Linked DNA regions of Astyanax mexicanus. The protein of the gene in region 4 purifies or fractionates together with the protein of the main gene of each other region. This does not show direct contact. Links are inferred from orthologs where the notes say so. Each region holds a gene or a part of one and is shown on either strand. Other genes may lie near its edges.

What was found.
Region 1: the proteins of kat2b (region 4) and hif1ab purify together in Homo sapiens (affinity purification with western blotting; 4 studies listed by BioGRID and IntAct, with this or other methods). This does not show direct contact. The link is inferred for Astyanax mexicanus from reciprocal best matches to the Homo sapiens genes KAT2B and HIF1A.
Region 2: the proteins of kat2b (region 4) and atxn7l3a purify together in Homo sapiens (affinity purification with mass spectrometry; 5 studies listed by BioGRID and IntAct, counting the BioPlex papers as one, with this or other methods). This does not show direct contact. The link is inferred for Astyanax mexicanus from reciprocal best matches to the Homo sapiens genes KAT2B and ATXN7L3.
Region 3: the proteins of kat2b (region 4) and transformation/transcription domain-associated protein purify together in Homo sapiens (affinity purification with mass spectrometry; 5 studies listed by BioGRID and IntAct, with this or other methods). This does not show direct contact. The link is inferred for Astyanax mexicanus from reciprocal best matches to the Homo sapiens genes KAT2B and TRRAP.

The regions. Positions count from the first base shown.
Region 1 is NC_064408.1:70,075,639-70,082,887, reverse strand, and holds the start of hif1ab (hypoxia inducible factor 1 subunit alpha b), read right to left. Parts: upstream 3,004-7,249; 5' UTR 2,631-3,003; coding exon 2,599-2,630; intron 1-2,598.
Region 2 is NC_064426.1:35,730,524-35,737,986, reverse strand, and holds the start of atxn7l3a (ataxin-7-like protein 3), read right to left. Parts: upstream 3,003-7,463; 5' UTR 2,772-3,002; exon of another isoform or gene 2,768-2,771; intron 1,168-2,767; 5' UTR 1,009-1,167; intron 243-1,008; 5' UTR 181-242; coding exon 130-180; intron 25-129; coding exon 1-24. Other genes in the region: ubtf (nucleolar transcription factor 1), read right to left, coding at 6,670-6,783. UniProt on the Homo sapiens protein: Component of the transcription regulatory histone acetylation (HAT) complex SAGA, a multiprotein complex that activates transcription by remodeling chromatin and mediating histone acetylation and deubiquitination.
Region 3 is NC_064422.1:24,991,791-24,999,077, forward strand, and holds the start of transformation/transcription domain-associated protein, read right to left. Parts: upstream 3,018-7,287; 5' UTR 2,936-3,017; intron 2,063-2,935; exon of another isoform or gene 1,923-2,062; intron 1-1,922. UniProt on the Homo sapiens protein: Adapter protein, which is found in various multiprotein chromatin complexes with histone acetyltransferase activity (HAT), which gives a specific tag for epigenetic transcription activation.
Region 4 is NC_064410.1:61,521,299-61,529,294, forward strand, and holds the start of kat2b (histone acetyltransferase KAT2B), read right to left. Parts: upstream 3,025-7,996; 5' UTR 2,835-3,024; coding exon 2,634-2,834; intron 1,522-2,633; coding exon 1,383-1,521; intron 1,295-1,382; coding exon 1,149-1,294; intron 1-1,148. UniProt on the Homo sapiens protein: Functions as a histone acetyltransferase (HAT) to promote transcriptional activation. Has significant histone acetyltransferase activity with core histones (H3 and H4), and also with nucleosome core particles.

The DNA.
Region 1 (7,249 bases), on a different chromosome or scaffold from region 4:
AAACCTGACATCTAAAATGTGTTAAATTAGTTTCAATAACAGCATCTGTTTTTATTATATTGTGTAGTACATAAAATACAAATACCCACGTTTTTTGTAAAAGAAAATGCATGGCATGATTTCTAAAAAGCCATGACATTTTCATATCAAAAATCTAAGACAGATGTTTTTTGGCAATTTGGAAAAAAAAAACATTTTTTCAGACTAACCGCTGTGTCTATTTTTAAGAATAAGAAGCTGTCCTTCACGTGAGGTCAGCAATAATTTGTATTGCTTTGGACAGAGACAGTCCAGCTACATTTAGTGTGGCATGTGTTGCATAACACCAGGGCAGTAGTTAAGAAGAGCCTTGAAACAGAAATTAGGACCGACAGATTGGCCTGTGCCTGGACATTATGGGAGGGATTACCATGGGATTGATTCTGCACCACCGTTTGAAAACAAATACAAAACCACATATACTTGATCAATGATAATTCTAGTAATATGCTGGTATAGTACCAGTACAATCAACTGTGTACACAAAAACAATTATTTAAAAAGGTATGGGTTATTTAAACAAAGAATGGATCATACAAGGACACTGACCATTTAAATTATTAATTATACACCTGTGTGCTTTCAAAGATTTATGCATACTCATAGTTTTTGGAAGATACCCTTGAAATGGGGCAGCACTGACTTTCTTTTCACTTTCTCCTTTTCACTCCTTTCACTGACCATTCCAACTTAAAAACAAAATAAGATATATTCCAAATAATAAATTCATCAATTTTATAGTGATATTTCATTTAAACCACACCAACCACTCCATCTCAACCAGACAAATGTGAACCCCAAAGTGACAACCACATTGTAAATTTTAAATCCCCTTTAACCCCTCACAAAAAGGCATACCCAAACAGACATGAAATAGTGAAGTGTGCCTCACACATCCTTTCTTTTCTGACACAGTTCTTGCAAATGTCTTGCCACAGAAGTAAGCAGGAAATCCCATTGACGTCAACATCTGTGGTGAGTAAGAGATGATAAAAGAGGAGCAAAACAGCATCCTTTAACAGCTAAATTTGACCTAAATATTGATTTTGTGAAAGTCCTAATAAATGAAAACATAAGTTAATATATACAGTACCAGTCAAAAGCTTGGACACATCTTCTAAATCAATGTTTCTTTATTCCTTCAATCAATTTATTTTCTACATTGTAGCACACATTGTCCTGCACAAGCCCCTGACCTAAACCTAACTGAAATGGTGATTTGGGATGAGCTGGAGCTTCACAGAGTGAAGGAAAAGCAGCAACTATTGTTCAGCACCTCTAGGAACTGCTCCAATACCCTGAGAAAACTATTCCAGGTGACCCTACCTCGTAAAAATAGAGATTAAAATACCAAGAGTGTGCAGATCTGTCCTCAAATACAAATGTGGTCACTTACAATATATATAAAACATAATACATATTCTGGATTATTTCCAAAATATTTCACGTGTTTCTGCCTAGGTATTTTTTTTAACAGTCTTCAATATTAAATGTACACTATAAAAAAATCATAAAAAAAAGAAAAATCCACTAAATGAAAAGAGAGGTGCCAAAATTGTGTTTGGTAATGTATATTGTTACTATGTTCTGACAAAAGAGACAATTAGCTAGTGTGGAGTAGAGGTTGATTTTTTTTTTACATGTGTGCAGGTTATACCTAAAAATAAAAAATACCACATATACGTCAGATGAATCTGATCTGATAAAAAGGTTTAATACTATGAAAATACTGTTTTATAAAGGCAAACCTGTTTCCAGCTGAGGGTCTGAATGAAAATAGGTCACGTCTATAAGCTATAATAAACGTAACGAAGGGTTAAAAATCCCAAATCACATCAATTGAGAATCCCTTCTTTACAAAAACACAGAAACTCTGCAGTTTTAAGTCATCTGAAGCTATTTAACAGCAGCTTTTTTAACACACTCACTCCTCATCCTCCTCCTCCGCACCAGCAGTCAGTCCATGCCACGCTGACGCACTTTACTCCAACCGTTATTAAACATTTCTAATAAATATATATATTAGAGCTGACCCCTCTCTCTCTCTCATTCACCTTCAGTTTGTAGTTAACAAATTTTAAGCCACAAAAAATAAATCATCCGGTCGCTTATCTTTTACACACACACACACTCAGCTCCAGCCGGCGCAACACAAATCAAGGCAACTTCTTATTAGCTAAACTAAGCTAAGCTAGGTTAGCGTTAGCATTAGCTGAACCGCTGTCTGTGCTGCCAACGCAGATACAGACGCAGCCCGTGTTTTCGGCGTATATTCAAAATAAAACCGACACAAAATGTCCCCGCTGGAGAGATTTCAACAGCTACAGACGGTCCGAGTGCTGAGGTGCTGGCGTTTTTCGCTTGTTTGTAAACTTGTCAGCAAATTGCCTCAGACGCCCCCCAAGCACAAAATGGCGACTCCGCTAGGAGGACGGTTGTTTGCTAGCCTCCGCTAAGCTAACAGCTAACAGCAGCAGCAGAAAGGTGAAAAGGAGGAACAGCCTCTGTCTGCAGGTCAGAACAGCACAATAACACACATACAAAATCCGTCCGCCGTACCTTTTCTTTTCAGTGGCGACTCCAGTATCCATTCCTGGGTGAAACCTCCTAGTGTGTAAGGTTTTTTTTTTTCCCGAAGCGCCGGCGCAACAAAACAGCGGCTAGCGGCTAACGCTAGTTCCAGACCCGAGAAAGAGAGAGGATGAAGGACGTGGCCACCTGTCCTCCCCGAAAAACACCAACAAACCGAGCTAAACGCGGCCAAAAACACCCGCTAACACGTCTCCGCTATGTCTCTTGTACAGCCGAGTTCAAGAGGTCGCCCCTCCGTGGTCCTGAAGGTCAGAACATCTGTGTGTATTCCTGCGGTGGGGTTCTCCCCGGCACAAAGAGAGTTAAGTGCTACAGTCTAATGCTGCTCACTGAGGCTCCGCTACTACTACTCTCTATGTGGGCTCGTTCATGATTACGGGAGCGCGCAATCACATGTTCCTCTGGCACAGAGACAGAACCGGGCTCTGCACAAACGTCATCGAAAAACAAGCCCCCACACTGCAGCTCCAAACACACACACACGAGATACTGATACCTATATCACACCTACAGACCTTAATTCCACATTATATTACCCAGTTAATAACCAGGGTGACATATCTAATACCTGTATTTAACCCTTTCAGACCTTGCACTCATTACAATGGACATCATGTATTTTTTTTATTTTTAAATGTTTTGTTGCACATTACGCAGTTTGATAGCTGACCATGAACAACCCAAATGAACAAGTTTATCAACCAATTAAACAATAAATTGGCCTCGCCCATTGCACTGAATTTTTAAGCAATTTTTAAAAGTACAATTTTTATTCATGTTTTTTTACTGTTTAGGGACGGTTCACGAAAGAGAAATGTCAATATGAAATACTACTACTAAATAAAATATTACACACAGGCATCTAATGCAGCGGAAATAAAAATAAACTATTAAATATTTTAGTTAATTGGATTTGTTTGCTATATAGATGTTATAGTATAATATTAGAGTCTTTTCTGTGCATTTCAGACAGAAAACAGCATTCTTAAATGTTTTTTTTCCTTCACTGGAGATAATTCAGCTCATTGAATTCAGCTGGCTCATTATGACTGCTTATATGTCACCACTGGTTTATATGGAATCTCACTCTCTTTTATATAATTAGTTAGCTGGTTACAGTATAGTTACAGTCATTTAATACAATTCTAAACTGTATACATTTTAGATACATTATATCAATTATTATGTATTAATATTACGTATTAATAAGTTCAAGCTTTTGTTGGCACTGTCTCTACTGACTTCACTGTCCGGGGAGGTCTTTATAAGTCTATTTGTAAGTCTATGTTTCATAAAACTTAAGTATTTTACTTTAGTTATACAATATATTGAGTACTACTGGACATGTACATCATATTAAGCCAATTAGTTCATCTTTATCTGCTCAAGAGAATCCTATTTTAGTGGTTCTCTATAGGAACTACCATACTACTGTGTGTGCATTTGAACATCTGTGTCAGCAGTGGGTGCTGCCTAAATGTAGCCTAAAATGCAGCCTAAGTGCAGCCTAAATTTCAACATATAGTATATATACACTGCATTATGCAAATATAAGCTGGGTATATTAGTGGTTGGTGTTGTCGTGTGGGTGACAACATTAGCTTTATTGTGGTAGAGCCTGGTTTGACTCTGTGGTCAGGCCATTACACCACACTACATCAGTATCTTTCATTTAGTGAGTAGTGTAAAATTACTCATATTTATGTTTAGATCCACAACCAAATGCGGAAATCAGTTTATAGGAAAGACAGGTCACAAAAACGGTTGACATAATGATGCCAAACAATGACTGTCAATGACTGCAACACATTACATTTTAACTCAGGATTATATTGTTAATTGTATTACACATATATATCATTGTATGCCAATGTCTTAACTAATGTTAACCTAATGTTTCAGTGCTTTCACTGTATTCACCTTGTTTTTTCAATATTTCCAGAGCCAATTCCAGTGTTTGTGAACCCTTAACAGCATCCTGTTTGGGCAAATCCATCCACCCCTATAATATTATTTTGTATAGAATTTGAAATCATTTTTGTTTTCATTGTGAATAAAGTTTAATTACGGGCAATGAATGTCTCAATAAACAAAAATCAACAAAATACAGGAAATAAATAATATTGTAGGAGCATGTAACCCACAATTAAATAAATATATTGTTGTCAGTAATCCATCATGTCTTAATAAGATGTTTTTCGGCAAACATCATGGCAGACACAAAATCAATATTCACACTCAGTTAAAAGAAGCCTTGAATGTTACAAGGTCTATGTCCTAAAATAGGTCATGTCCAATACTTTTGGAATATGATTTAGAAAAATTAGCAAAATTATTCTACTGAAAGGTTGTCACTGTTACACTGTGATGATGTTATATACAGTACAGAAAGTGAGACTGTCTGGAAAGCTTTCCTTTTGGGTGATGTCACACTCTAACTAAAGCTGGAAAGACTGAATTATATAGTTGTGGTAAAGTAGATATTTTGCTTCCTGTTCCTCGCTCTGTGGAAAACAGATGGAGACAGACAGAGGAAGAAATAGATACGGACAGACAGACAGATGGAGAAAAAGAGAAGAGTACTACTATTATAGAGGTTTAGTTTTTTCCATAAATATGAAGTATTTTACTTGTTTTATACAATATAGTACTGATGTAAAATATAATTTTTTTAACCATTGTTAATTAGTTCCCATAACAGTACTACTGGACATATACACTATATTGAGGCTTAACAGCCAAGGTTCATTTAACTATTAAGAGGCATTTTAGCTTTTTAATGTTCACAAAATATGTTTTACAACATTGCTATTACAGTATTAACCACACAAACCAACTGTAAAGACAAATTATAAGGCAACAGAAGTGTACATATATATTTTTGCAAATTGCAGTGTTTACAGTTTTTGTACCCTGTTGGTTGGTCAGCCAGTAAGTCCACTTCTTATGGGTATAGCAAGGAAAACATTAGGCTGTAGAATATTAACTACCATAAAACAGCTGTGTAGACTGACTGTGAGCGCCAAACACAAGGTCCTGGCTACGAATAAGAGCCGGATTCCACAACTGTGTGTTAGAGGATTTCTGACAGTTTGAAAAAGAAACAATGGTTGTTGTACAGGATGGGGGTGCAGCTCCAGTGTTGGAGGGCCAGTCTCCAGCAAGGCTTAGTTGCCCAACCCAAACACACCTGATTCAAATCATCATTTCATTACCAGGCAAAGTAGGTGTGTTTGGGTAGGGCAACTGCCAGACTTAGCTGGATACCGGCCCTCCAGGACTGGAGTTTTTCTGAAATAAGGAAGCTTGTGTAGACTGTCTATTTGTTGTTAACGAGTGCTCCTTAAAGGTCACCTTCCGTCGTTTTTTCTTTCATTTTAAAATGTCTAGTTGTGGTCTCTAGCATGAATGAATGACATGTGAGCCGTTTTTGTAAAAAAAAAAAAAGTGCTCAGGTGTCTCTGTATAGCTCTTTTTTAATGGACTGTTTTAGGGGTGTGTCCAAAATGACCGGATTCCAGCTTTGCTCATGAATACTCATACATGCAAACAGCATGCAAATATCTCTCCTCTGATTGGCTAGGAGCACTGCGACGCCCCTCCACCGCTCTGCCGCTCACTGCCTCCCACCTCCTAACTGATGAGCGGTGATGTTGCGTCGCTTCAGCTCCGCCTCTGGGAGTTTCTCGAGCCAAGGTGGGCTGGTCTGTGAGTTTCTGCCTACGTAGGCAGAAAGATAATTCAAAATTCACCCGTTTTTCGGAGGGGGGGGAGGGGGGATTTCTTTGCTTAGCTCCTGCAGACAATGGGGGCTGCAAAACAGTTTAATGTGCAGGTGTACACATTCAACTCGGAGAGACCTACTGTATTCCACAAAAAACAAGAAAAATCGGATTTTCGCGGAAGGTGAGCTTTAACAACAAGTGAATCACATAAGCACCAATGTGTGATATGAGGAAGAGCCAGGAAACTGATGTGATGTACTTGAGTGATGTTGGACCAGCAACAGATATTGGCAGTCTAAAGTGGCATTCCTTTTTTCTTCTTTTTTAATTGAAAGCAGAAGCAGTAGTATTTTAGTAGAAGCAGAGTGAGGGAGGGGGACAAAATATTTTAATAAATTGAATTAGTGTGCTGGCACAGCCATCACTGCAACTTTATAATCTTTAATATATTCATTTTAAAAACAGAGTGATCTGGAAAGTTTAGGCAGGAGTTTTTCGCAACAGTGTCTGGCCTTGTCACTTGCTGTTGATGTACTCAGGTCAAATGCACAGCCTTTGAAAGATGATTCAGCATATATTGCTGGTTAGCTAAGCAACTGTAAAAAGGGGGATCATGCTAAAACAAGTTTTAAAAGTACTCTTTTGCACAATTACACATTCTCACCAGAAAGGTCTCTAAATCCCCGATTTCCAAAACGTATGCACCACTTAAGGTTTAAAGCATTTGCTCAAGGCTTTTCAGTAAAAGTTATTTTTTTAGAGTATTCTTATTGTATATTGTACTCAGTGTACACTTGTAAATGATGGGGACCTTGTGGATGAAATACATTTCATGTACAGTGTGTGTCTAATGATTGGTGCAAGGCCAGTTGGAAGTTGTTATTGTGACCCCC
Region 2 (7,463 bases), on a different chromosome or scaffold from region 4:
TGAGTAGATGTCATGAGCCAAGGCCTGAAACATGATGGCCAGAGATATGAAGATATACTGGTTTTATCTTATGCTAAAATGTCAAAAAGGAAGCATATAGCAAAAAAAAAACAAAAACAACAACGATACCTCTAGCTTGGTGTTATCCAGGCCTGACAGTGACATACCCTCCATTTTCATTTGCAAAAGCTATTGTAGTGGGGTCGCCATAGTTGCTTTGGTACAGCAGGTGGGCAGCCACACTGTCAGAAAAACAGATCAATAAAATATTTAAACAAAAAAAAAATCAAGTTTACATTTAAATACATTACATGTAAATACAGTTATAACTTATTGAAGTCTTTGTGATTTAATTACTATTCCTACGAAGACTGTCATAATGCCACATCTATTTAGCTCACATATAAATGAAAAAATGAAAGAATTTCACTGTATAAGGAAACGTTTCCTTCATGTGCAAATGACAAAAAAACTCTTTTGAACTATAAAAAACAACCACACAGAATTCAAATTGTCATATCTGGTAGTCTTATAAGGATAATTACACAGTAATAATGTGCGTGGTATTTAGCGTTTGCATGTGTGCTTTCTTTTACCAGATACTATTTGACTGAGAGTGGTGGCATTTAAAGCTTTTTTTTCTTGTCTTATCTAGTCCATATTTCAACACTTTAAATGTTTACCAATGCATATTTAGTGTGTTATTACAAAGTGCTATCTAAAGGGTAACTAAACCATCTGATTTTATCTGACTCCACCCTCAGCCCAAATTTGAAAAATGCTAAAAAATGGGAGGAGCGCTGGGTGATGTATGGGTTTAGGGGCTGGGCAGGAGGGCGAGCTGATTGGGCTGAGCAGTGACCAAAATACCAAAATAAAAGCATTTTTTTAAAGGTTAGGAAAGGTTTAAAAAAATAAGCAGAACTGGCATGTTTCACTACTTTAAATGCATACATTTAATCTATTAATGAAAATAACTTAGTTTAGGGTTTAGTGCCTCTTTAGTACCTGCAGCAGCCTTTTAGATCAGTGAGTTTTCTCCAGGCAGGTCCAGCAGCTCTTACAGATGAGGAAACTTCTGAAGTAGCTTATCTAACTAAAGTAGCTTAGCTAACTAAACTATATGTGTTATAAGTTAAATCATAGTTAGAACCCTTGACTTACCACCTGCAACAGAATAGAGGAAATGAGGAAAACATGCAGCTTTGGAAAAAATTGAGACCACTTCAGTTTCTGAATAAGATTTTGCTATTTATAGGTATATGCTTCAGTAAAACAAACATTGTTATATTCTATAAACTACGAACAACATCCCCCATCTCCGCAATTCCAAATAAAAATAACAAAAAAGATGCAGAACTTTCAGACCTCAAATAATGCAAAGAAAACAAGTTCATATTCATAAAAATTTCAGTTCAGAAATCAAAATTCGGTGGAATAACCCTGGTTTTTAATCAGTTTTCATGCATCTTGGCATCATGTTCTCCTCCACCAGTCTTACACACTGCTTTTGGATAACTTTATGCAACTCCTGGAGCAAGAATTCAAGCAGTTCAGCTTGCCTTTGTGGCTTGTGATCATCCAGCTTCCTCTTGATTATATTCCAGAGGTTTTCAATTTGGTAAAATCAAAGAAACTTGTCATTTTTAAGTAGTCTTTTATTTTTTCCAGAGCTGTAACGTTATCTGTTTATATCTGTGTGGTGCAACATCTGTGTTTTGAGCTGGAAAACAGCCAGCTTGTTCACTGAACTAATAAAATTATAATTCAGTTGTTATGAGTACACTTAAAGTTTATTAGCTAGTAAAATATTTACTATTTAAGTTAAGTATTAAACGATTTAATATTATAGTTAGCTGGGCTAACCTTGCTAACCTAAGTTACCCAAGCTGTCAACAGGAAACAGAGGTGTAGAGACTGAAGGAGAGAAGCCTATTAGCTCTAGCTGATTAATAGTGGATTAACAGTGGCTGGATTTATGTATGTCGCGTATATGAAAATAAAAATAGCTCTATATATTCAGAATGCTGCAGTTTTGTATAGTTTTGTTTAGGATAGAAAGTTAACTAGCTTAGCAAGTTAGCTAGATAGCTAACATCTAGCTAGCTAACCTAGCTTTACAGTAGCTAGGTAACGTAGCTAACGTTGCTGTACCACTACAGCATGTTTTCTTAGCTTAGCCGGTGTTCTGTCGAGTTGTGCTACTCATCGATACGTGCTTCCTAACGGCACTGCGCATGCGCTGACCTACACTTTTTAATTATTTCTCGTGTTTTTTTTTTAATAAATATTTTTTGAGGCATTAAACAACCACTATACCCACTGTCATTGCATAAAAACTGCAAATGGAAATACAAAAATATATAACAATAATAAATACACTAGTTATTACTTAAAAAGTACAAAAGCAGTTTTTAATGGCCTCTCATTGACATAACTTTATCGTGATACAGTAATTTATGATATCCATATATACTACATAGACTTCTACGATGAACATGCTTTAATATTGTGCTTCTTTTGTATTTTTACAGTTAAATAAACACTAGGGAAGCACGGTTTGACAAGATAGCAGCCTTCGACACAACACCGGGAATAAACACCTATAGACACCTATAAAGCAGCTCACACACAGCGGGGAACAAGGTGCACACACACAGCCAGAGCCCACCTCCTTCCCAACACACTCACCTCACACACACATAAACACACACACACACACGCTATTCGGTTCCCCCGCAGAGAGAGGGACGGGGGAATCGCGCACCTACCCCGCAGCCCCGCGGGCCACAGTCCTCCCGGGCGGTTCACGAGCAGCCGCCGCCGCTCCCCCGGAGCAAGTGGGCGGAATAAACCAACAGACACACGGCCTTTTCTACGCTGCTGAGACGCGAGAAAAATTAACGCTCCGCTGAAAAATCCGCTGGATATTTACACTGTAGAAATATGGGAAAATAAAACGCAGCCATTTTGCCGCCCGCCAGGCGTCACTAGTCCGCTACCGATCAGCAGCGCATCGATCGGTCTGAGTGGAAACACTCCGTCCTGAGGCTGGAGGAAAACAGCACCTCCGATTAGCCACAGGCTAGAAAGTTGCTAGAGATATTTTTTGTGGTGTTTTTAAAGTGTTTTCACTCTTACACCATAAATGTAATCATCCAGAAAATACACGTTTGATGTACAAAGTTTATTTCTTTACTCTTAAGATAATGTGAGGCTGCCAGGGTAACTTTTTAGCCAGAAGGCTAGCTAGCATTAGCATTACAAACTAGCTAACTAACCTAGCCTAGCTAGCAAACTGGCATTAACCTTTCTATAACTTTCTGTAAAAAAAAATGGAAATTTTACAGCAAGTTGATGCCAATAAATATTAAGACCCATTTCATAATTATGAGATGCAAAGTCGTAAATATGACATACTAAATCATTATTATGAGATGTCATTATTATGAGATAGTAAGTCAATTTTAAGATAGTAAGTCATTATTATGAAATTGTAAATCATAATTATGAGATAAGTCATTATGAGAAACTAAGTCAGTTATAAAATGGTTAGTCATTATTATGAGATACTAAGTCAATTATAAGATGGTCAGTAAAAATTATGATATAGTAAGTCATTATGAGATGGTAAGTCGTACTCATAAGATGCCACGTAAATACTAAATCCTAATCATGAGATGGTAAGTCATTATTATTACATACTGTCATATTTATAAGATACTAAGTCATAATTACAAGATGGCATGTCATTACAAGATACTAAGTCATATTTATAAGATGGTAAGCCATTTTTATAAGATACTAAGTCATAATGATAAGAAGGCAAGTCATTATTATTATTAGATACTAAGTCATAATTATAAGATGGTAAGTCATTATTATAAATCATAATTATAAGATGGCAAGTCATTATGAGATACCAAGTCATATTTATAAGATGGTAAGTCATTATTATAAGATACTAAGTCATAATGATAAGAAGGCAAGTCATTACTATAGGACACTAAGTCATAATTAAAAGATGGTAAGTCATTATTGAGATACTACGTAATTTATAAGATGGCAAGTCATGACGGGATTCTAATTCATAATTATAAAATGGTAAGTCATTATGATGAGATACTAAGGTCATTATGAGTTGGTAAATCATAACGAGATACTTTATAGTTTTGAAATGGTAAGTCATAATTATGAGATAATACCCCCTGACTTACTATTTCATACTTATCATGCATCTCATAATTATGACCTGGGAGGACCCTTATTTTTCCCCAAGCTCAAAATATTTTTGAACTACTTTTTTAAAGTTTTTGCTTCAGATGCAGAGCATTTTATAAAAATTAACACATTTGTTTTGTGCAGACCATTTTAAGAGAGCAGGAAATAAAACCATCAAACAATTGCTAAAGACAGGTTTATTTGATCAAATGGTAAATTCCAGGAATAACACCTCCGACTATAGAAAACATCCAAATGTTCCAAATTATCAGCAGTACAAATTATTATTTTTTGCCATTTCTACAAATAAACAAACAGCTGAGGGGTATAAAAACTAAAACATACCAAATTAAAATCTTTCCCTCAGAGCAATTGACAAATTCAGACCACTGGCCACTACAAGAACCACGTAGGGGACAGCTTGGCCAAATGAAAATACAATGTTCACTCAATACAAAAAAAAAAAAAAAAAATTAAGTATAATAACAATAGAAGAATAGGAAAAACGATGTATTTACAAATACCTTACAACAGCAGTGAACCAAATCCATCCCCTCTGATCTCATTGTTTCTATTCCTATCATCAAATCTACAAATGGACTGTGTATGTCCCATTCCCTTGTTCCTCACCACCATCATATCATTATAATCATTAATAACCACTATAACCATTATGCTCTTCCAGATCTGCCAAATCCATTCAGCTTTATACATGAGACAGACCTTACCCTCTTCCTCATTTTCAAGGGCACTGATAAAAGATCTGTGTCCTTTGGGTGTTGGGGGTAAATAACATAGCAAGTAACAGACACCACCAGTGATTCAAGAGGTGGAAAAGCACATAGCTTAAACTCCAGCAAAATCTTTATACAATGTCTAGGGGAAATAAAACAGAAAAAACAAAAACGACAGCCTCGGAAAAGGGGAGGGAAAAAAAACAGCAACCCAAAACTTATTATATATATACACGCACACACAACAAAGGATTTTCTCCTGTATTAAATACAACATTCCTTTACATTCCTTGAGCTGGTGCTCAGTAGAACAGCAACGGTCATATCAGTGGTTGAACGATGTGAAAAGGGGGGAGATGGGGGAAGCACACATGAAGAGCGAGGGATGAGGAATGAGAAAAAGAGGGAGAAAAGAAACATGGAGGGGGCAGATGGCTGGTGAGGCTGTCTGAGATAAGTGCACAGCGTTGTGGGCCATATTCATATTACAATTGAATATTTAAAAGAAACCAGTCAAAAAACTCTTAACAGACGATTAAAACAAACCAAACATTTAAGATAAACCAGTCTAAACTTTTAGCAGACATGTAAAACAAACCAAACATTGTTTTTTTTTTCTTTAAAAAAAGAAAAGTCCTGCTAAGCAGCTTCAAATAAAAAACTGGAAAAATAAAAACAGCTCGGATGGACACCAACATCAGTTCTAAATATAACTAACGAGAAGTTAGCAGCAGGGTTGTCGGTAGGAACTCCTCTCAAAGCTGGACATATCTGGGCCAAAGGAAACATTTTAGGACATAATCTCTTTCATTAAGCTTTATGGTTTTAATTACAAAAAACTCCAAGTAAGTTTTCTTAAATTTTTCTTTTTGAAAAATATTAAAACTCCATCTCCTCAAACTGAAGAATCCAGGTCTTCCACAAACAAAACATCCCACCAAACATAGCTGTTGGTGGCTTATGTACATGTCATGAACAAGTTAGGCTTGTGTAGATTAACACAAACCAAATGGGACAGACATTCAAATTCAAAAATCGCACCATTGTTCCTGAAGATACCACATTATGAACCCAAGACCTATAGAAGCAGAAGTGCACCACCGTCGGAAATGAGAAAGCAGGAGGAAGAAAATATACAAAGGTTTGTAAAGGCAGGATGATTGTGACTAGGATGGCTAGAAGGAGATGGGGAAAAACAGGGCAGACATTTTTTTTAAGAGTGCAAGTATTTGGTCCCCTTTACCTCCCGAAAGAAATCCAGATTCTTTGGCTTGTGGGTCTGTTACTCCCCTACAAAAAGACTGGAAACAGAACGGATATAATCCCTATTCTACATCATTCTACATTAATGGCTTCAGACACTAAATGTGATGATTAGGGACTGCTTTATGGAACCACCAGCATCTTTTTTTTAAAGCACCTGCATAAAAAAAAATACTTTCCCCTCATTCATTCTGTTTCCTTCTTAAACTTAAACAAGCTCATTGATACAGTAAATAAAGAAAGAAAAGAAAGAACAGCGAAAGAAGATTGAAAGACATGGTAGCTGAAAGAGGTTGTGGACGTGGTGGTTGTGGTGGTGGTGGTGGTGACAGTGGAGGGAGCTCCTTCTGGTGGCTGGAGGGAGTGCAGTGCAGGCCCATGGCTCTGACTAATGGCTCAGTTCACAGGCTCTCTGGCAGTCTGCGGGCTCACGCTCTGCTCAGTCACCCTCTCAGTCTGAGTCCGAATCTGATGAACCATCTGAGCTAGACCCACTGCTGCTGCTCTCCGATTTGTTTTCTTTATCCTCTGCCTCTTCATCATCTTCCTCATCCTCGTCATCGTTCTGGGAAACCAAAGAATGTGGAGGTTAAATTTAAAAATCACAGCTGAGTGATACAATGTAGGGTTACCATCCATGTTTGAAATGTCTTCTTAAAAATGTACTAATGAACAGGTATGGGCACTTTATTATAGTTTTAAATAACTAATATAATGCAATTCGGCTAATATACTCTAATAAGTATACTTTAAAATTAAGTCGGCATAAATTTTCAATAAAATGCAATCAATTAAATTTTTTAAATCAATTTAAAAGGTAAAACATATACATAAGAATTTCTAGCTGTTTTAGAGCATTTCTGTAGGCATGTGCTATGTCAGCACCATTAGCTAGCACTAGTGTTGTTCCAAGCTCTGAGTTTCTTCCTGCCATTTGAAAACTACTACATCTCATCACAACCCAAACTCCTCCCAGTGCAGAAAATCACTGGCTTATTTCCAAAGTTTTCAAAAGTATTCACTTTCATTACTCAGGTAGAAATACTTTTGAGATGTTTGTAGAAGCTTTTTACTTAAGTAAAAGTACTGGTTTCAAAACTACTTAAAGTATAAAAGTAAAAGTAATACAAAGGGAAACAATGGCATTACAGACAAAAACTTAGGCCACACCACAGAGTCCTATAGTGCACTTATCCTCCCTCCCCAAAACACATTTTACCAAAAGCCATAATGACTATAATGTTA
Region 3 (7,287 bases), on a different chromosome or scaffold from region 4:
TTATATGGAACTTGGCCTTCAGTTTGGAGATGGTACTGAGGCTTACTCCAAATAATGTTGCAACTTGTTTTTTTCAGAACACCAGCCTAAAGTTGCCTTATCCAGACCAGTCAAATGTGGCATGACACCTACTGACCAGTGTAGCGGGGACCATTTTCACAGGTGCTGCACCTGGAGGTACCAGAAGCTAAAAAGTGTCAATAGCAACAGCAGAGTAAACTGTTTGGCTATGGCAGAGAATATTTGGCTAATTTTATATGGGTACAACCCACATATTCAACTCTGCTGCACACAAGATGTTTTGTGGTGGATTAGAGCTGGAGTCCTTAACACCACTGGCAGAGAGGAGTACCCAGTCCTATCCACAGACAGACTTCGAAAGTCTTTTGTTGCTCAGGCCATAAGACTGTCCAATAAAGTAATAGATACTTCAATAAAGTATCTATCTATATATCTCTTTACATATCTAATCCCACAAATGCATGTTCCTTACAAATGTGGCTTACTTTAAAAGGGAAATGAACAGGCTTTACAACAATATTAGATTTCTCACCAAGAAACACTGTTACAACAGAGAAATTATCTACCAAACAAATATCCTTACCTTTAGTGCTGTGTTTATAAGGTATAAATCATGGAGTAATAGTGTAGGCAGAGCACATGGTATGTTTGTTGTCTCAGTAAATTAAAAATAAAACGTGCAGACTTAAGTGAACAGCACTAACTTACAAACCCTTTACACAAACGTTCTTCGTATTGTAGTTAATGTTATAATTGTTCATTAGTTATAAGTTATAAGTGTTCATTAGAAAGGTCTGTAGGTCTAGGGAGCTTACAAGATAGAAACTTACCACTACAGCCAAAACCATCAAACAACAATGTATACAGCTCTGGAAAAAAAAATACGAGACCACTTATAAATGATAAATGATGAGTTTCTATGATTTTACCAAATTAAACCTCTGGAATATAATCAAGAGGTAGCTGGATGACAAAAAATCATAAAACCAAGCTGAAATGCTTGAATTTTTGCACCAGGAGTGGCATAAACTTATCCAAAAGCAGTGTGTAAAACTGGTGAAGGAGAAAATGCCTGAACATGCATGAAAACTGTGATTAAAAAACAGGGTTGTTACACTAAAAATTGATAATATCTAACGATTAAAACGTTATGAATATGAACATGTTTTCTTTGCATTATTTGAGGTCTGAAAGCTCTGCATCCTTTTTGTTATTTCAGCCACTTCTCATTTTCTGCAAACCAATTCTCTCCAAGACAATATTTAATTTGGAATTTGGGAGAAATGTTGTTTGTAGTTAATAGAATAAAACAACAATGTTAATTTTACTCAAACATATACCTATAAATAGCTAAATCAGAGAAACTGATTGAAAAACTGGTCTCATATTTTTTTTCCAGAGCTGTATATCAAGATAATAAAATACAGTTTTACTATAAATTAAGATCTTACATTCAGCAAAAACATATTATAATATTCCATATGACAGAATTATGGGATGTGAACTGTGGGTTAAACATTCTGTGGGGTAAACAACTGCAGTACGCCTAGCTTATGCATCAATAGGTTTCCCTGCACCTTCAGCTAGCTGACTATAATAATATTTAAGCTGTGTGCTGAAAAGTAAACACAAATATTTAGCTTAAAAAACTTTAAACGATTAAATTACACACACAGATATGTATAACCAGTGTAGCTTCTATATGCAGCCAAAAATAAGGTTATATGCGGCGAACTATCAGCATAAAGAAGGCGTTGTCGAAAACAGCACGGTAGGACCCTAAGCTAGCTATGCTATGCTAGCTAGCTAACTACACACTGCAGAGCACTGGAGCTTATAATAATAATAAACACAGGATAATTTAGCTAATACAGCAAATTCACCTCTTTTCACAAACTTACACACAACCGCCACTGAAGACGCCGGCTGGATATCCGTCTGCGCACTTACAGCAACTTTATCTGCAGTTTTCCAGCGCAGCCGGCGCGCCAAATCGCAGACAGTGCTATGCTAAGCTAGGCTAGGCTAAGCTAAGCTAACGTTACTACAGATGCACGCCTACTGCAGTCCGACGCGCGCAGATGACATCACTGCGGTTAAAGCCAGGCTAAGCTAAGCTAGAGATTAGTGCAGTGAAACAAAAGCCAGGATATCTTATATTTAATACACGAACTTATAACAGAACTCAATAGAATATATATTAGAGTTTACAGACTTTCACACCCCCATCATTCCAACCTTTATATCTCAGTTTTGAATCCGCAATCCCTTAGTAAACACACTCTAAACGCGTACCAGCCTGCTGCACAGACAGCCGGGTGTTCTGTCGAGTTACGCTACCCATCGATACGTGCTTCCTAAATGCACTGCGCATGCGCTGACCGACTATTTAATTTTTTTGTTGTTGTTGTCGTTGATAATAAATCTGTTATTTGTGTATTAAATAGCTCGGACTGACTCATTGCACAAAGTATAAATGTAAATGTTTAATAATAATAATAATAATAATAATAATAATAATAATAATAACAAATACAATTATTATTATTAAAAATGTAAATACAAAATCAAAATGTAATTAATAACCTCCCATTGCCGTATCTTTACCATGATACAGTGATTCATGCTATCCAAATATACTAGCTACATCTACTGGGACTTCCACTCCTTTTGTATTTTTACAGGTAAATACGCTAGGGTAGCACGATTTGACAAAGTAGCACAACTCGACAGAACACCGTTACTACAGTCATGTCCTTCCCACCAACACAACTAGCAGTATTTAACCTCCACCAGTATCCCAAAGCCAGCGCACATCTCGGCTTCAGCCACTCACACACACCTGCGTATCATATAAACACAAAATCCCCCCAAATAAAGCGAATAAAACGCAATACGCGCATTAAAGACTTACAGCAGATGGAAAAAGAGGGAAGGAGTTCTAGCTCTGCTTCAGCTCGCACCGACTCAAACCCGGCGGAGGGATCTAAGCAACACCGCGCCAAGCTATGATAATCTGTTTACTAATTATAATCATATATTTCTTGCATTTAAAAACAACAAGCATGATATGTGATATAGCTATGTTAACTTCTTACTAATAAACACATTATGTAGGATCTAATTGTGCGCTCTTCTATTGTTTTGTCGTTTTTTACAGTACAGCGGTATAGTCCTGCGCGGAAGGACACTGCAAATTTGGTAGTAGTCAGAAGACCATCGAAAACGAAGGTCTTTCTTTTCTTTCGTTTTCCCATGTATTAAGAGCTTACAAATTATGTTTTTAAGCTATTTTAATGTTTCCATTTCATCCCTATTTTGATTTCTAAAAATGCAAAACCTGACTTTTAACACTTAGACCGCTATTCCTTTAAAAAGGTAACTAAACATTTTGCAGTATAAAGAGAATTTTAATTTACGCACGCAATTAATTCTGTTTTAAATACTGGACTCTACTTATTCATTTTTTTTAAATACACCACACAGCTATAATGAGCAGCTTCTATCATATTTGTTATATTATGCTTCTTTATATGGGGCTTTATATAGTAGTCAACATTCTGCATTTAGGCTGGCTGGTTGGGGTTGTAAGTACAATAAACGGCCATTTGAGGTCGCTGCGTTGTTGGGCGTCAATGTGAAGAAATTATAGGGGGAATGGCAAAATGACAAATATAAATAAATAAATGCACAAATAAATAAATTAATACCTTTATGTATTTATTTATAAATGAATAAAAAAATAAATGCAGAAAGCTGCTTTGTGAGCACATCAGTTATAAAATGTGCTATACAAATAAATTTGATTTGATGATTTGATGTAAAACGCCTCTGGATATGAACTAGTGATGGGTGATTTTCACAATTAATTCGGTTAATTCGAATTACAGTTTTATTGCGGTTTTACATACTGTGACGGGCGGGGGGAGCAGTGGGTCCGTCCCACGCCATGACGCGCAGTCCCTGCCGGTCCCAGCTGATCTGAATCAGGACTGATTGAGCAGCAGCTGGAACTCCGGCATAAAGACTCGGATTCAGTCCCCACTCTGAGAGGTGCTACAGGTGAGAGGAAGGCTGCGGCAGGATAGACCCTTAAAAGACTGGCAATCACAAGTTCAGCGAGTAGAGCCCCTCTGGGCCAGTGTAGTTATGTTTTGAGTTGTTTTGGGTGTTAGTGGAGGGCATTTGTAGTGATGGGCAGATGAAGCCTCATTGGGTGTATGGCACATTTCCCAAACTGTATCGACACTGTGTTGAAACTGTGTTGCTGTATCACTTAATGGCGACATCTGCTGGACTAAGAAAGTCATTGCAAGCAACTGCGCGAAGAAATGCATCGGTCACGTGGTTTTCCTTAAAATGATACGCGGTCTGACACAGGGGTTCGCCTTGTTTGCTCGGTGCATGCGCTGAAGTTTCAGTGTCGTCAGACCCATCGCTACCAAACGATACAGGAAGTGTATCGGTCACGTGGTTTTCCTTAACTTGATACGCGCACCGACACGGGGTTTCGCCTTGACAGCTCGGCGCATGTGTCGAGGTTTCAGGGTCGTCAGACCCATCACTAGGCATTTGAACCTAAATAAAGGTACGTTTTGAGTTCATTCACTCCCTGTGTCCGTGTATCTGTGGGTTTTCTGACTGCCCTGTCACGGTGGCCACGCCCCTATCCCTAGGGATGCCGTCACAATACAGGCACTTTATCTGTTTACTCTAAAGTTTCTAAAGTGTTTATCCTTCTTAATTTGGCTACCACTGCCTCCCACAGACTAATGCCGGTCTTACACCTAACTATTTTTAAACGTTTTCACAGTCGCAGACAAATTTCCAAAGTCGGGAAAAAATCTGGAGAGTCTGGCTAGAGAAAAGTTGCGGTCGAGTTGCGGTGGCGTCATCTCTATCCTAAGGTGGTTGGAAGTTTAATCAGTCGGGTTCGCCTGATTAATCAACCGTGTTTAATATTATCGCAAGTCTTGGGACTTGGCTCACGCAAATAGTGACGTGAACAATGTCAACGACCAATAGAAGAGCTATGGGGAAAGGCAAGAATATATTTCACGTGACTGTTTTGAAACTATTTACATATACAGTATTTTAAACACAGGCAGCACTTTAAAGTCATTATTTTTAAAGTTTTTATTTTGCACTACTTTGTCTTATTGTGCAGTTTTTTTTAAATACAAAAGTTTAATGTTTTTCAAGAATTAACTTCTTTAATTGCATTAGTTGTATCTAAGGCAAATGTATAGCAGTGAAACTGTGTAATTCATTGCTATACAAGGTTGTAGCAAAAAGGGGATAATCAAGTTTATAGACAGAGTTGAACACAATGTATTCTATTAAATATCAAGAACTAACAGTGAGGAAGAAAAAATAAACTGTTGATGGGCACAAAAGTTGTGAGTCTCTGATGAATGTGTGTTCAATCACTCGCAGGTGCTAAACCGTGATTAATGGTGGAGAGAAATAAAATGTCTCATTCAAAGTGTCTTCTATAGTTGTTCAGTGTATTTTTCAATTTTCAGTCACACACCCTCCTTCGTGTGTGATAAGCTGTGTACTCAAGGTCAGCGTGTGATATGACTGCGTGAGCTTAAACTGCTTTAAATAATTGATTTACTCAATGAGTAGACTCACCCTAAAGCTTCTAAACACATAAAATATATATATATATATTTTTTTTCTGTTTCACATGAAGATATGACACTTTAATACAATGTAAAGTAGTCAGTGTACAGCAAGTAACACTGTATATTTGCTGTGCTCACAAAATAACTCAAAACACAGCCATTAATATCTAAACTGCTGCCAACCAAAGTGAGTATATACAAGTGAAAAGGGCCAAATTGTGCCCAAAGTGTCTATTTTGTGTGGCCACCATTATTTTCCAGCACTGCCTTAACTCCCTTGGGCAGGGAATTCATCAGAGCTGCGCAGGCTGCTACTGCAATCCTTTTCCACTGGGTTCTATTAATGTACCACCTAAATTTGTGTTAGTCTCTGTCTGTAGAAAAGTTCAACATTCAGTTATATCGCACTCCAGAAGATGTATACATGAACAACACAAGAAACTAATATTATTGATGAATAATCATCATTTAATAAGTTATGGGAAGGAAGAATATGCCAATGATATGATTTTCCTCTGCACAAGCCTACATCTCTGCTTAATGATGGCGGACAAGCCATTTGCCACCTTTGCCATCTGTCTGAGCACAATCACAGTAACCCTGCTGGAGCACAATAAATGATCCAGATGGTGAAAAGGTTGCATTATCATTTCAATGGCCTCACTGTTCAGCTGTGGAAACATTAAAGCAGAGATGACATCCTGTCCCTCCAGCGAATGAAACTTCAAATACTTTAGTATGACAGATTCATATCCAGCAGCGGGAGTGCAGATGAAATGTGGGCGGTTTGAGGCTACTTGCGGTCTCTTGTTGACCACTGGCCCTCATCTTTGACTCCTTGTTTAGCAGAGTAAAACGAGAATGCCACCGGAAATTGGATTTGTGCCTCAACGACCGCTTGGAAATGAAAATGCTGATGTATTTTTCAGAAAAAACAGGCTCTATGACCCACATCTTGGGTTTTAGATACACTATGCGCAAATGTGTGCATTCTAATGAATGCATTATTCAGCTACTTATTTAAAGCTACACCAATTGAGTACAAATTCACACACTTTCTCTAATTTCTGTAGAATAGTATTGGCAATGGAATAGAAATCTCTGGAAAAGATAAACATGAACCTATTACCATAAATCCTAATGCCAGGTGTGCGCTGAAAAGGTAGCAAATGATGTGGGGTTGCTGCACTTGGTCAGGTCTACGTTCAGTAACAGTATGTGCTGAACAAATGAGGTCAGCTGACTACCTGAATATAGCATTATAGAGCATTATTTTTTGCATGAACCATTTAATACCCTTGACTTCAGAAGAAGCAATTCAACATTTAGTCAAGACATGAGAAAAAAAAAAGAGACAATCATTAATAGTGAATATTTTTATTTAAAGAAATGAAAAATGTAGGATTGTATGCATTTTATGAGGCAGGTAAAAATAACACTGGCATCTCCAATCATGCTGCAATATAAACACAATTAGTACATTTCAGCACAAACTAGATAAATACCCGGGAACCACCAAAAAAAGAATGAGAGTGCATTTCCCCAAGAAAATGTATGTATAAATTGCAGCTCAATGGCAGTTGTGTCTGTGTTGCTTGCTAGGGTGTTGCCAGTTTGTTACTAGGTTAACGTTTGC
Region 4 (7,996 bases):
CAGTGTGTAAGACTGGTGGAGGAGAACATGATGCCAAGATGCATGAAGAAAACTGTGATTAAAAACGAGGGTTATTCCAACAAAAATTGATTTCTGAACTCTAAAAACTTTATGAATATGAACTTGTTTTCTTTGCATTATTTGAGGTCTGAACTTTGCATCTATTTTTCTGTAAATAAATGCTCTAAATGACAATATTTTTATTTGGAATTTGGGAGAAATGTTGTCTGTAGTTTCTAGAATAAAATAACAATGTTCATTTTACTCAAACATAAACCTATAAATAGCAAAATCAGAGAAACTGATTCAGAAACTGAAGCGGTTTCTTATCTTTTTCCAGAGCTGTATATAAAAATCTATATATAGAAAAACAGAAGAGAACATAAAAACTAAAAGATTGTAGGAAACATATGTATTGTGTGTGTTATGGTATTGGTATTGGCCAGTGATATTGCACGTTACCACAAATTACCTTTTACCCTGCAGCTAAACAATCACAACCCAGATTTGCTTTATTATAGTGGGTTACAATTCTAATCTATGAGCGATGCTGTGTTCTCTACAACTACTTGCATTAACTAAAAGCAATAATGTGGTCTGCACCATTTATAACACTTGTTATCAGTTTACCCAGTTTCTGTCCTTTTCACAAACCAGTTGTTTTCCAGCAAAGATATAAACTGCACAGGGCCAGATTAATAACGTTAGCTAAACTAACATATTTTAATCTGTAAATTCGAATTTACTAGCTACATGTTCCTTGAGTAGTACCGCTGCTGTACACATATGACTAAAATTGCTGTGGTACATTTATGATTAAAATAGCACTGCCAAAAGTAGCTAGCAAGCTAAATGTATGACAAAAAAAGCAGTGATGAAATAAGTTCACGATTGGAATACTGCTAGCACTGGTAAGCTAAGTGTCTTTGGATTTTTGTTGGCATGTTGTTTGGATATTAAAAACTTAGTGCTTAAGAAATATATATGTATATATATATATATATATATATATATATATATTTTTTTTTTTTTTTTTTTTTTTTTTTTGTAGTTTCGTTACGGCCTTTTCTTTGAAAAGCTATTTAATGTAGAATGTAAAAGTGGCATGTTGATGTAGATGTAGATTTTCTAAAGGAGAATTTTGTCACCTTAAACAGGGAGAAGTAAACTTGTTTAGTGTCGGCATCTTCTTCCTTGTGGACGCAGGTGTACAGGTATTCCACATCCAGCACTATACCCAGTAACCTGTTCATCTCATCTTCTGATACGTTCTCCAGATGCGTCACATGATCTCCTGCCCAGTGAAAGAGGAGAAGTTCAGAGAGCGATCCACTCCTCTCAGAAAATACCAATCATTTTCACACACACACACACAGGGTTACCTAAGGGATGACTGCAGCTCCTGCAGGGCTCCAGTAGATTAACAGCGATTGGCTGCTCTGCCCTGGGAGGGGTTGGGGGGGGCGGAGTTGGAGGTGGGTTCTGACTCTTCCAGCCATTACACTTACAGGCTCCCTCAGCCTGCGGAATACAAAAAAAAAATAAAATATATATATATATATAAAAAAAAAAAAAAATATATATATATATATATATATATATATATATATATATATATATATATATATATTATAAAATGACAATTCCAAATATTACATAATACAATAAAGTATTAGATATACATAGAATTAACTTATTTTATTTCATTTGTATTTTATTTGTACTTAATATTGTTCTTATCGAGTAAATACAGTTGTAAATATCAAGTGTAAAAGTTACAACCGACACTTCAGTAACAGCAATTAATTTATTCTTTTAGTTTTTAGTTTTAAAAATATATTTTGGCCTTAAACACATTTTAGAGGTACAAGTAGGACATTATTAGGAAAAACTTACTATAATGTTATGCAAATGTTTCTGTTTAAATTGCCAATGTCTATCCTCTACAGTATTTTAATTTACACTTATTTCATTGATCTCTTCAGTAATAAAAATAGTTCATTAATTTAATGAATTGAATGACCTTATCTGCAGATTCTTGAAACTGCTCACAATTCAAGACTTTTTACTAAAAAATATGATGGTCAAAAAAGTGCATTTATTTCTTTTTCTAATTGTTTGTGTTGCAACCACTTTAACAATTCAAATGCTTTATTCCATAAAACGAGTTCTGACAAACAACAAAAAATAATAAAACTCAAGTTATTGAATAGCATTAAACATTTAGCTGTTAAAGTTAAAGAAAAAAAACCCAAACAAAACACAGAGCAGCGCGCGCACCCCTTCAGTCGTAAGCCCCGCCCCCCGGGTTCAGCTGTCATCCTGTCAAAACAAAGACGGCGCTCGAGCCTCCCCGCGATCATATTCACTGTGGATCGCGTTTCATAACAAACTTCGGTCTCGAGCTTCCCGTGCACGAATGCACGCACACACACCCATGCATGTGCACAGTCACGAGCTCTAACCCGTGCACTAAATATATATACATGCATGCATATACATGCGAGCGGGACGCCGTGTGCGCGACCTGCTGCTGCTCGCGCGCTGCGCTCAGCACATTTCGGAGTGCGCAAAAGAGAGTGCACGACAAAAATAACAAGAGCACCGCTAGCGCTCGAGCTCCCCGTCCGTACCTTGCACGAGGAGTACACCGCGAGTTTCTCCAGCTTCTTCGCGCGCGGGGAGGAGCGCAGCTGCGCCTTCTTCAGCGCGATCCGCGCGGACCCCACCGCCGCCCCGGAACCCTCAGCTCCCGCGACCCCCGGAGCCGCCGGAGCCGAGCCAGCAGCGCCCACGGCCGGGGAGCCCTGGGCGACGGCCCCGCTCTCCGCCATCCCGCGCTCCGGGGCCCCCGCCCGCGGTCGGTGGGGACGGAGGGAGAGGAGCGGGAGGGGGGCACGGGGTTCCTCCGAGCGGGGTTACCGCGGGCTGCTCGCGGGCTTTCTCCGTCGACGCGGCGCGGCGCGTTCTTTAGCTCCGCGCGACGGAATCAGACATGGCGTTCATCCCTGTTTTTCATTTGACATTGCAGTGCCGCCGCGCGGCCGCTGGAGGCGCCAGAGAGCGCGCGCACTCCACTACTATCCGCGCGCGAGGACAGTAAACAAACACACACACACTCCCTCTCTCTCTAACTCTCTCATATTCTCTTCATCTCTCTCTCTCTCATTTTCTCTCATATGAAGTTTATAGGATTTACAGAAAGTGTGCAATAATTCTTTAAACTAAATTAGGCAGGTGCATAAATTTGAGCACCACAACAGAAAAATTACATCAGTATTTATTGGATCCTCCTTTTACAGAAAAAATAACAGCCTCTTAACCTTTTGCTATAGCTTCCAATGAGAGTCTGGCTTCTGGTTAAAGGTATTTTGGATCGTTCTTCTTTACAAAACGTCTCCAGTTCAGTCAGGTTTGATTCAGGTTTCTGAGCAGTGTTTAGTGTTTAGTGTTTAGGGTCGTTGTCTTGTTGAAGTATCCAGCCCCAGTGCTTCAAACTTCAACTTTCTCACTGATTCTTGAACATTGTTCTCAAGAATCTGCTGATATTGACTGGAATCCATGCAAACCTCAACTTTAACAAGATTCCTAGTACCTGCACTGGTCACACAGCCCCACAGCATGATGGACCTGGCACAAATGTTACTGTGGGGAGCAGTAAAGTGTTTGTGTTGGAATTATGTGCTCTTTTTTTGCCATGCATAAATAACAGCCCTCCAAATAACTCAATTTTAGTTTCATCACACACAGCACCTTATTCCAAAATGAAGCTGGCTTGTCAAAATGTGCTTTAGCTTTAGCATACCTCAAGCGACTCTGTTTGTGGCGCAGAAAAGGCTTCTTCTGCATTTCTCTCCCATACAGCCTCTCCTTGTGTAAAGTGAGCTTAATAGTAAATAGTGAACGGTGACTCCATCTGCAGTAAGCTGATGTTGTAGGTGTTTGGAGCTGTTCTGGAGGTCTGTGGCTTGACTATGACTGTTCTCACCATCCTTCTCCTCAGATTATCTGAGATTTTTCTTGTTCTGCCACTTTAGGTCTTAACTAGAACTGTACCTGTGGTTCTTCCATTTCCTCACTCTGTTCCTCACAGTGGAAACTGCAGCTGAAATCTCTGAGATTTGAGCTTTTTATATCCTTCCTCTAAACCATGATGTTAAACAATTTTAATTTTCAGGTAATTTGAGAGTTTTATTTAAGGCTCCCATATTGTCGCTCTTTAGAGAAGATGCACAGAGAAGAAAAACTTGCAGTTGGCTCCTTAACCTATTCTCATAATTGGATTCACCTGTGTGAATGTAGGTCAAAGGTAAATTAGCTTACCAAACAATTTTTTGTGTTCCAATAATTAGTGCTAAAGTTATTCAAATGGATAAAACGACAAGGTGCCCAAATTTATGCACCTGCCTAATTTAGCTCAAAGAATTATTGTACACTTTCTGTAAATCCTATAAACTTCATTTCACTTCTCAAATATCACTGTTTTCATCTGATATATGATATTTTTAACTGAAATTGCTGATCCCAACAATCAATGATTTATAAAGAAAAATGCAGCTCCACCATATTATATAGTTATATAGTGCTGTAGCAGCGTTCCGACCACAGTGTTGCATTAAATTCTTAACAATGTTATTCAAATTCATATTAATATATATTAAGATATATTTGCAAATGTATTTAAAACAAAAACTTCAATTTCATATGGACATGAGCACTCAGACTCGCTAAGGGTTTTACTCTGAAATGCACCGTCAGCTGTAAGAACTTTTATATAAACCGGGGTGTGTCTTCCCAAATCATGTCCAATCAACTGCATTCAACACAGGTGAATTCCAGATAAGGTGTAGAAACAGCTCATCAAACATAATCAAGAGAAATGGGAGCCACCAACATACATTTTTAAGTGACACAGCAAAGAGTCCATGAGAATTTTTAGATTTTCCTTTATATATAATATTTTTTCACGTTTTTAATTTCTGCAGAATGATAAAATATAATATATATACAGCTTTGGAAAAAAAGGAAGAGAGCACTTCAGTTTCTGAATCAGTTTCTCTGATTTTGCTATTTATAGGTTTAAGTGAAATTAACATTGCTGTTTTATACTATAAACTTCAGACAACATTTCTCCCAAATTCCAAATAAAAATATTCTCATTTAGAGCATTTATTTACAGAAAATAGCTGAAGTAACAAAAAAGATCTTCTTTCAGACCTTAAATAATGCAAAAAAAAAAAAAACAAGTTCATATTCATAAAGTTTTAAGTGATCAGAAATCATTTTTAATCACAGTTTTCATGCATCTTGGCATGTTCTCCTCCACCAGTCTTACACACTGCTTTTGGATAACTTTATGCTGCTTTACTCCTGGTGCAAAAATGTAAGCAGTTCAGTTTGGTGGTTTGATGGCTTGTGATCATCCATCTTCCTCTTGATCATATTCCAGAGGTTTTCAATTTGGTGAAATCAAAGAAACTCATCATTTTTACGTGGTCTCTTATTTATTCCCAAGCTGCATAATATGTATATATATTAGGACAATTACTAGGCCGCAACATAAAATGTAAAAGAGAGTTTAAATAGTTTAAGTTTTTTCATTTTCACTTTCTCATTATGGGTTATGAAATGTAGGAAAATGGGGGAAATATATATATATATATATATATATATATATATATATATATATATATATATATATATATATATATATTTTTTTTTTTATATTTTACTACACATGCCAAAAAAAGGTAAAAGATTTAAAGGATCACCTTCAGAGTCATACTGATGTTTCACTGGCTGCAGTTTCTTTTTTTAACATGACAAAACTTGAAAAAAAGTTAAAAGGGTGTGAAGACTTTTTGAATGCACTGTAGTATAATGTTGCTTTAAATGAGGGCATAAATATAGACAGATACAATATTCTCAGTCAGAACAAACAACAAAAGACAACCAGAATTTGATATTTGTTTCTCTTATTTTGTTTTTGTTAATAACACTACATACATTTATAAGACCACCATTGATTATAATTTAACCATTTTGTGAAAAAAAAAAAGAAACATAAGTCCAAACCCCTATCAAAGCAGTTTCTGGTTACTGTACAATTGTTTTTTTTAATGATTATCTAGACAACTCCCTATCAAGCATTAGTTCTGCAACAGTAAATGGAAAAGTAGACTACATTGCAACACCCTATTTACAGTAAATTATTTATATATATATTTATATCACACTGGCTGTATTTAGAGCAGATCAATTCATGAACAAAATTAGTGCAAGGCATGGAGTAAGAAACACCTGGGTGTGTTAAAACTAAAGAGAGAGAGAGAGAGAGAGAGAGAGAAAGAAAGAGAGAAACAAAGAGAGAGAGAGATAGATTAGCATCAGGCTTGTGTTTGAGGAAGGGAGGATGGAAGAATAAAGGACGATTTATCAGGTGTGTGGAGAAGTGTGTACCCAGTCAAAGTGTGTGAAGGGTTTTAATACAGGACTGCAGTGTTACAGAGTCGAGCCCTGTAAATCCTCGAACATGCTGACCGACACGCTCAGACTGTGCCAAAATAACTGTGCTGATAAACCAGTAAAGCCTTAACACGACTGGCCAGAGAACTGCTTGTATATATGTTTGTGCTCACATATATAGGTGCATCTCAAAAAATGTTGAGTATCATTGAAAAGTTACTTTATTTCAGTAATTCAGATCAAAATGTGAAACTCATATATTATATAGATGTGTTACACACAGAGTGTTCTATTTTAAGTGTTTATTTCTTATTTCAGTTGGTGCTTTTGGCAATGTAGGCAGTGTGCCAAGTCCTGCTGGAAAAGGAAATCTGCATCTCCAAAAAAAAAGTTGTCAGTAGCAGAGGGAAGCATGAAGTGCTGTACGATTTTGTGGGAAAACAAAACTGCACTGACTTTAGACTTGATAATAAAACACAGTGGATCAACACCAGCAGATGACAGACATGACTCTCCAAACCATCACTGATCATCAGTAAATTTTACATTTAATTTGTAAATCAAGGGAGCAGAGTCTGGAGGAAGAGTGGAGAGACACACAGTCTACTTTATGCTACCCCCTGCTCTGGATTTCATTTTTCAGCAGGACACTGCCAAAAGTACCACTTGGTCTTGTAGTATATCCAAATTTTCTGAGACACTGATTTTTGGGTTTTCATTGGCTGTAAGCTTCATAATCATCAACAATACAAGAAATAAACTCCTAAAATAGATCACTCTGTGTTTAATACATCTATATAATATATAAGTTTCACATTTTGAACTGAATTACTGAAATAAAGTCACTTTTCAATGATACTCTAATATTTTGTGATGCACTAGTATATATCGGCCAAGCATAACATTATGACCACCCCCTTGTTTCTACACCTACTGTCTGCAGAAGTGCTGCTGGAGGTTTTAAACACTGTGTCCACTCACTGTCCTTCACTCTATTATGGAGTGAAGACACTCTAAATCTGTTGCTGCACATGACTCCGCCCACAGGATGCTGGTGGAGGACTGTTCTCAGTGGGGTCGGTAAGAGCTACAGAGTGTCCTACAGGACCAGTGTAGCTGAGAAACTGGTGAGGATGTAGAAACAAGGAGTGGTCATAATTGGTTGGTTTATTGGTGTGTGTGTGTGTGTGTGTGTGTGTGTGTGTGTGTGTGTAATGCCATGAATCCAATAGCACTGTCCTTTGTTTTGCAATACTGAATCGATTTCTGTTTAAACTCCACCCAATCAATTTTGTACCCAATGTTGATAGATTTCACCGATCTGGTTGGATAAAAAGCACTTTTCCTAAGTACACAGATTTTATAAGTATGATAATGTGCTTTTTCAGGTTAAGACAGTTTTCCAAAAATTAGAATTAAACAATAGCAATATATTGAATCATAATAAAGTATTGTGACAGCGGATTCATATTAAAGGAGAACTCAGGAGTAAAATTAACTTGATTTAAATGTCAGGGCTCTCTGGATTCTA